Canis lupus familiaris: one gene and its partner. The protein of the gene in region 1 interacts with the protein of each later gene in a biochemical or structural test. Links are inferred from orthologs where the notes say so. Each region holds a gene or a part of one and is shown on either strand. Other genes may lie near its edges.

Region 1 (4,054 bases):
GACCAGTATTATGCCAGAAGTTAACAGGAGAGCCTTTCTACACTGCTACCTCCTATCCCTTCAAAAAACAGCAAAGAACGTGTTAATCTTAGCAGAGGATGTTGAGACAGGCCTTTATCTTGGGATACAGAGATTCAAGGTCATAGAGCCAGAGTCTGGCAAAATGCAAGTCACCCTATGTTCTCTTGGATTTTTTTTTTCTCTTGGATTTTAGAAGTAGGTATTTTTTATGTTAAGATATTTTAATTTACAAAGGTAGGAATTTTCTGTTTTAACTTAAACCTAAAAAAAATACATGTGCATATGTACATTCATATGAAGATTTGTTAAAAATGCCTATTTTCCTTCAGTAGACCTGTTTGCACCTAAATATCTCGAAATGCCAGTTGTTTTAATGAATTAATCCTTTTGCAATAATCTGGCTGGTTAATTCAGTTGAAATGGTCTCATGATGCTACCACGAGATCCTAAGGGTGGTTGTGGCATGGAAATATCTTTCATTCAACTGTTCTAAAATCACCCACAGGCTAAATTGGCTGCAGAAATATTCCTCATCATGACAATGTGCACATAGTATGTAGTCTGTTTCCATAAACACGGCGGAACCACACATTTCTTACAGTCTAAGCTCACAGTTCTGTATAGTTTGTTCAAATATTTTATTAAAAGCAAAAGTTACAGAATTATATTATGGAAATCCTTTGCTTAATGGGACATCATGATGTCCCTTCCTCATTATTGCGTGTTTTTGGGGGTAAATCTCTTTTGTCCATTTTTGAGAAATTAGAAAATATGTAAGAAAGCATTTAATGACTTGCTTTCCTAGAGGCTTATGTCTTGATAACAAGTCAGACTCCAATGGAGTAATTGTAATTGCTGTTGCATGAAATTATTTTTCTCTTAATATTGTTTACAACTGTATTCTTTCTTGAATTTTCTTCTTTCAGAGAAGAGTTCCAGTCACAAATGCATGTGTGATGCATTTTGACATTTACTGCTAAGATGAAATGCAGGAATGAAAACCACACATCCGTTTTAGTGTTCTCAGATGTGATTAGATATACCTTACCTATTTTTATGCTACTGACTTATAAGGAAAACAATATTAAGAAAGGGTAACTGTTAAACAGTTAGGACCTGCAACCTCAGGACTTCTGGGATGAACTGGAGTATCACAAGGAGAGATTTTATTACAGCATATTCACACCTCCGCTGAGCCCTCAGCCTTGACTCACATACATTTCTTTTATCGACGGTTGTCACCAGACCCTTTATCTCCCAGAATGGCGGACAGTCTTCCCACAGAGTTCGATGTGGTCATAATAGGGACAGGTCTACCTGAATCCATCCTGGCAGCTGCATGTTCAAGAAGTGGTCAGAGAGTTCTTCATCTTGATTCAAGAAGTTACTATGGAGGAAACTGGGCAAGTTTCAGCTTTTCGGGATTGCTCTCCTGGTTAAAGGAGCATCAGCAAAACGGTGACAATGCAGAAGAAAGCACTGCTTCATGGCAAGGCCTGGTGCATGAAACAGAAGAAGCCATTGCTCTTCGCAAGAAGGATGAAACCATTGAACACATAGAAGTTTTCTGTTATGCCAGTCAGGATATGGATGACAATATTGAAGAGATCAGTGCTCTGCAGAAAAATCCTTCCGCAGTAACATCTAAACCTCTGGATTCTGTGTGCTTGTCCGAAGAAACAAACTCATTACATGTTACTAGCTCTGAAACGCATGCCAAAGACACTCCAAAAAGTGATGAAGAGATTTCACTGGAAGTAACTGATGTAGAGGACATCTTGGCAGAAGAAAAATGTTGTGGAGATAAAACCTGTATAAACACAGCTTCAGGTGGAGATAAAGATGAAAACAAACCTATAGAGGAAGATAACACTGATCAACCAAAGAGAAATAGGATTACTTACTCTCAAATAGTTAAAGAAGGCAGGAGATTTAATATTGATTTGGTATCAAAGCTGCTGTATTCTCAAGGATTGCTAATCGATCTTTTAATCAAATCAAATGTTAGTCGTTATGCAGAATTTAAAAACGTCACTAGGATTCTTGCATTTCGCGAGGGAAAAGTAGAACAGGTGCCTTGTTCCAGAGCAGATGTCTTTAATAGCAAAGAACTCACTATGGTTGAAAAGAGGATACTGATGAAATTTCTTACATTTTGTTTAGACTATGAACAACATCCTGATCAATACCAAGCTTTTGTGCATTGCTCATTTTCAGATTACTTAAAAACTAAAAAATTAACCCCCAACCTCCAACATTTTGTGCTGCACTCAATTGCAATGACAGAGTCCTCTTGCACCACAATAGATGGCCTTAAAGCAACTAAAAACTTCCTTCGGTGTCTTGGACGGTTTGGCAACACTCCCTTTTTATTTCCCTTGTATGGCCAAGGAGAAATTCCCCAGTGTTTCTGCAGGATGTGTGCAGTTTTTGGTGGAATCTATTGTCTTCGCCATAAAGTTCAATGCCTTATAGTTGACAAAGAATCTGGAAGATGTAAAGCAATTATAGATCACTTAGATCAAAGAATAAATGCTAAATATTTTATTGTGGAGGATAGTTACCTTTCTGAGGAAACATGCTCAAATGTGCAATATAAGCAGATCTCCAGGGCAGTGCTCATTACAGATCAGTCTATACTCAAGAAGGCAGATTCAGATCAGCAAATTTCCATTTTGATAGTGCCTCCAATGGAATCAGGAACATGTGCTGTTCGTGTCACTGAATTATGTTCTTCAACCATGACATGCATGAAAGACACCTATCTGGTACATCTGACCTGTTCATCTTCTAAAACAGCAAGAGAAGACTTAGAGTCAGTAGTGAAGAAATTATTCACCCCATATACTGAAACAGAAATAGACAAGGAAGAACTCACAAAGCCAAGACTCTTGTGGGCTCTTTATTTTAATATGAGAGATTCCTCGGGAATCAGCAGAAGCTCATACAATGGCTTACCTTCCAATGTTTATGTCTGCTCTGGGCCTGACTGCGGACTGGGAAATGAGCACGCAGTCAAGCAAGCTGAAACACTTTTCCAGGAGATCTTTCCCAATGAAGACTTCTGCCCCCCACCTCCAAATCCAGAAGATATAATCTTTGATGGTGATGATAAGCAACCTGAGGCTCTTGGAACCAATAATATAATCATGGCCAAACCAGACTCCTCTGAGGAAAATAAAAACCCAGAAAGCCCAGAGAACCACCTTCAAAACTAGAAAGGAGCAAGCTGGAAATGCTCTTTTGGGCCTTCATCCTGACATCAGAATATTTTCATTTAAAGAACCATTTCCTATGTGATTAATAAGAATTGGTTATATGATGAATGCTATGCAGATGTTGTCTTTACTTCTATTTGAGACATTCAGTCACGGGATCTTGTTAACTTATCAGCAACTGATTGATTGATTATTGGACAAGGTTAGCTCTATTTTAGTATTGAGTATATAAGTGTGGGTTCCAAATTAGCAACTGTGCGTACTGGGAGGTAATACATGTCTGCTAATGATCTTCAGATTTATTAGTCTATAAAAACAATAATATCTAAGGAATAGTTTAGTTATTTTTGTAATTATTACAGTTGCTACCATGTCTGAATAGTTAAACACACAGAATAAATTATGTGGGTCTTTTGTATATAATACAAATGTACAGACATGGTGGTAGCAATAGCAACTTATGCAAGTGCCAAGTGTTAAAAGATTAGCTTTGCATGATCCTTTATTTGTGAAGGTGTAGTGTTTACAACACATTGTGCAGTTCAGTTCCCCTACTTGACCCTTACAAGCAGCAGGGCAGTGACACCACCAGTCTTCTGTATTACAAAAAGTGTTGGACAGTTCATCTAGTCATTGAAGAGCTCATTCTTGGAAAGTTTGTCCCAAAGGAAATCTAAGGGTAAGGTTAGTTCTGGTTTAATACTTCAGAAAATTCCTGCAGAGCCTTGTGCTGGCACCTAAAAGAAAAGAACTTCCAACAACTAATTCAGGTCAAGAGAAAAAAAAAAAAAAAAAAATATATATATATATATATA
Region 2 (4,270 bases), on another chromosome or scaffold:
AGGTATTAAGACAACATCATGGAATTATGAAAGGCACTCACCCACTAAAAGTTTTAATTTAAGAAAAAATACAAGGTTTTAAAGTTTAGAACAAGGTATTAAAAGTAAATGGACTTGTATTCAGTAATTAAACTAAGAATTTCTTTCCTTCTTTCTTCTATTTTCCACTAATTACTTTTTGATGGTAACAAACTTCATTAAAGACAAAAAAAAAAAAAAAACCTGCTGAAGTCACATTATTAAAAATCTGCCTGCTGGTTGCCCTTGTGACCTCCTCTAATAAAATACCCATCACCTCCTCTCACTAGTGCTCTTCCAAAGGTTTTTCCAAACTCCTATGTTACTAGTCTAGAATACAAATACAGTAGACCTGATACTGGCATATACTCGGTGGCAAAAAAGTATAATTTCTGGGTTTGATTCTGTTAACGTCATTAATTTAATGGATGTTTGGCACGGTATTTACTGAAGAATTACTATCACTGCCATTTATTAACCATTCTTCCTTCTTCCCCCTTGAAAAATCCTCCTCACTCCCTAGTGCTTCTCTAAATCTGTTAATAATTCTCTTAGGATTCTCTTTTCTATAAAATTTTCCTGAAACCAACTAGCCAACCACAATCCTTCACCCTCCTTTGAAATCTTGTTGCTCCTATCCATCCTGTAAATTTGGAACAAACTAGATCTACTGGTATTTGACATATATAACGGTTTTCTATACTCCATTATAAACTCCTTGAGGGTAAGGATTGTATTCCTAAATCCCAGCACTATTACGATGCCGTACATGGTAATGACATAACACCACCTAGAGTCCTCTTATGTTTTCTTTTACATGCACTTAAATCTCACAACTACCCTGATACGAATAATGACTCCTATTATCCTATTTTACAAAAGGGGAAACAAATTCAGAGGCTAATGTGTCATGGCTCTGTCCAACTAATCGTAAAGATCTACTTATGCTACTTGACATACTTAGCAAATATAAGAAACTCCCTGAACAGAGGAGGTTTACAAGTCTCCGTAAAGTGGTAGATCCATGTACTTTATTGTTGCCAGGAAAACCACCAGATTAGGTACCTCAAGTTCCATTCTCCCTAACTATGCAAAACCCACTTTGTCCTCGGAGCCCTTGATAAAGAAACTAAAAACTGCCGCCGTGGCCAAATGTGGCACCATGAGAACACCAGCCTCAACTTCTGCAAGAACATAAAATTTTAGTGAAATACCACGGCTTCTGTTTAGTGCAAAAGGGGACATTTCTGCTTCAAACCACTGTTATTACAAAACTTGGAAGTCAGAATGCATTTTGCAAGAGCCATGTGACACACACATGACAGTCAGCTAAACTGATGGGTGGACCTTTAGGGGAAATGTTTAGCAGTAAATGACCAAAGCTGCAAATACATTCACAGCTTTTAAAATACCAATTTTTTCCTTTAAAAAAAAAAAATTCCTCCCCCCCCCCCCAAGCCTTCTGACGCTGAAGGGGAATACCAATTAAATGTCTGCCAATTATTCGTTAATTTATATAGGTAAACCCAAGGAGGAATTTAAAGGGCCATGAAGGAGAACCCAACGAAGTCTTCCCAAGGAAGGTGAACACCAGTTCCCAGGAAAGGTGCCAGGTGTGTCACATATGCTGCGGGGACTTCTTGAGTGAGCAAGAAAAAGAAATGCATTAACTTTTCATGACACGTCATGGAACCTCACTCCCTATCTTCGAGTATTCAAGCAGGTAATCCAAAACCTACGGATTACATAGAGAGCCCCTTCGTTCTCTCTTTCAATTTGACAGCAGTCTTCCTTTAATCTGATAGTATCAGAAAAAAGAAAAGAAAAAAACGTTCCTACGTCTTAGTTCTCTTTATTCTTTTCCTCGACCTTACACAAGACCAAATGACTTCAGTGCCCTCTAAAAAAAAGAAAAAAAGGAAATCTCACAAATGCTTAGGTTTTTAGGGAGGCAATGGGCCCCGTCGTGACTTCTCGGAAAAAAAACAAAAACAAAAAAAACTCCAGGAAATAACCTAAACCCCCCCTCCACTAAAAATTTAAAATCTGTTCTCCCCTTCTACTCATTTCCCCGCTCCATCCCACGCAGTCCTGAAAAGCATCCGTGTTACCTGCAACCTGGCCGGGGAGGGGTGAAAGGACGGAGCCAACGAGCTCAAGATTTGCAAGTGGGGCTGGCTTCCCACCGCGACGGTTCTGACAGCTCGGCGGGCGCGGGCGCCGGCCCCGACAGGGCCCTCTAGGGCAGCCCTCCCACCCTAAAAACAAGTCTTCCTTCCAAAGTCACTGCCTGGGCGTGAAGCTACCCCTTCCCACCGCCCCACCCCCCCCTCCGAAGACTGTTCCTCCGCCCTGGCCCGGCATTCAAGGCCTCCAACCTGCCCGGGCGCCCCCCCGTCGGCCCCCCCGGCCCCCCTGACGCCCCCCCCCCCCGGGCCGATCCCTCTTCCGTCAGACAATGGGCCCCGGCTCCCGGCATCTCCGGCCCTACCACCGTCCGCCCGCCCTGGCCGAGGCCCCCGCCTCTGCCTCAGCCCTCCTCGCCTCCCCCCCTTAGGCTTTTCCGGGCTGCCCCACGGCCCCAGCCGACCGGTGCTCTCCTGCACTCACTATTCGGGATTCATGCTGGACATGTCACTGCAGCCGCCGCCGCCGCCACCGCCGCCCTTGCTGCCGCAGCCGCCGCCCCGACTCTCGACGCCACGGGTAATCGAGGGACGGGAACGAGAACGGGCTGTTCCGGGAGAGCAAACGTCTTCCCCTGCTCCGTCCCCTTAGAACACAATCAGCAGCCGCCGCCACTCAGCGATCGCTTCCACCCAAAATGGCCGCCGGCGAACCAGGAAATAGGAAAGCCTTAGACCGAGGGGTCTTTACACGGCCCGGAGGGCGGCCGCACCGCGCGGCACGCCGGGAAAGAGAGTTCCAACGCGGCGGCGGGCGCCGAAGGCCTACGGGGCGGCGCGGCCGCCGCGACTCAGCTTCCCGCCAAGCCCCGCGCCTCCGGCGCAGGCGCACTCGAGCGCTTGTCGCCCGCCCCATGCCCCACTCGCTCACCGCCCCCCCCCGTCTTGCCCCTCCCTGCTCCCCGCCCCGCTGACTCGCTGGCTTAGGACTTCGCTCGGACTCCCCCTAGCGGATTGGCTAAGCCCGAGCGGCCCCGGTGATGTCATCAGTGAGACGTGGCAGCAGGGCGCGTCGGCGCCCCAAGGGGGGAGGGGGAGGGGAGGGACGGAGGGCGGCGCCGGCCGCGGACAGAGGATGGGGCGGGGGCGGGGGCTGCGGGCGCTGCGGGGGGGGGGGGGGGGTGCAGCGGCGACCGCGGGGCGCTGGAGGGCGGGGCCGCGGGGGAAATGCGGGCTGCAGGTCGCGCCTGGCCAGTGCTTTGCTGAGAGCTCGAGCTCCCAGCTGGTCCCAGGACGGAGGAGGAATTGAGGGGCCCCTACTGGGAACCTCGGGGGTCCGGAGAGCGCGGAGCTCGGTGGTGTTCCCCAGCCGGCCGGCCCCGCTGGGTCAGGTCCCCGTGCAGGGCCACGGTCCCGCGCTGGCCGCACACGGTGCCGTCTCCTTGGTCGCATTGCCCCCCGGCTCCCCGTGCAGCCCGGCTCCGACCACCCGGCCCGGCGACGACGGGAGCCTCGGCCTCCTCTCTGCCCCCGCCGCTGGCCGACGCAGCCGGATTATCTCCCCGAAACCGCGCTGCATCCCGAGCCCACCACCGTTTTGCGGGGGCCGCGCCTCTCCGTGGCCGCGGTGCAGCCCAGAGTCGGCCCGAAATTCAGGGTCTTCCCGCCCTGGTCCCAGGCTTCAAGCCGAACTGTAATTTTAGCTACTCAAGGCGGAGCTGCTCTGCAAGACTGAAGAATGATAAGCGAGGGGAAGGTGCAACTAACGCATCGCTGCACGGTGCCTAGAGACTCCGGGAACGGCATTCACAACATTTCTGAGACCCGATTGATAGTCGTAACTCTTCTTTTAATCAGCTCAGGAATTTAAACCTCCAGTAAACTTTAACACATTATCTTGGGTTGTCTAACTGCAGAGGGCATAGTGTAATAGGTTGTCCAAAGTTTATCTTCCAACTTGCGCTAAGAACCAAGAAAATTGCCTCCTCTGCAAGCGGTTGCAAAAGCACTTTAAATTCTCATGACACCAAAATATGGAAAGAAGGGAGCGATGATTCCCCGCTTTACTAAACGATGTGCTCCTTAACCCCCAAATTCTACCCTGCGCCTTAGCTGACAACCTCATC

The links.
Region 2: the proteins of CHML (region 1) and RAB1A form a complex in vitro, tested with the Homo sapiens proteins (2 studies listed by BioGRID). The link is inferred for Canis lupus familiaris from reciprocal best matches to the Homo sapiens genes CHML and RAB1A.

The regions. Positions count from the first base shown.
Region 1 is NC_049228.1:32,967,093-32,971,146, reverse strand, and holds CHML (rab proteins geranylgeranyltransferase component A 2), read left to right. Parts: upstream 1-1,254; 5' UTR 1,255-1,283; coding exon 1,284-3,239; 3' UTR 3,240-4,022; downstream 4,023-4,054. UniProt on the Homo sapiens protein: Substrate-binding subunit (component A) of the Rab geranylgeranyltransferase (GGTase) complex. Binds unprenylated Rab proteins and presents the substrate peptide to the catalytic component B.
Region 2 is NC_049231.1:65,878,057-65,882,326, forward strand, and holds the start of RAB1A (ras-related protein Rab-1A), read right to left. Parts: upstream 2,801-4,270; 5' UTR 2,652-2,800; coding exon 2,629-2,651; intron 1-2,628. UniProt on the Homo sapiens protein: The small GTPases Rab are key regulators of intracellular membrane trafficking, from the formation of transport vesicles to their fusion with membranes.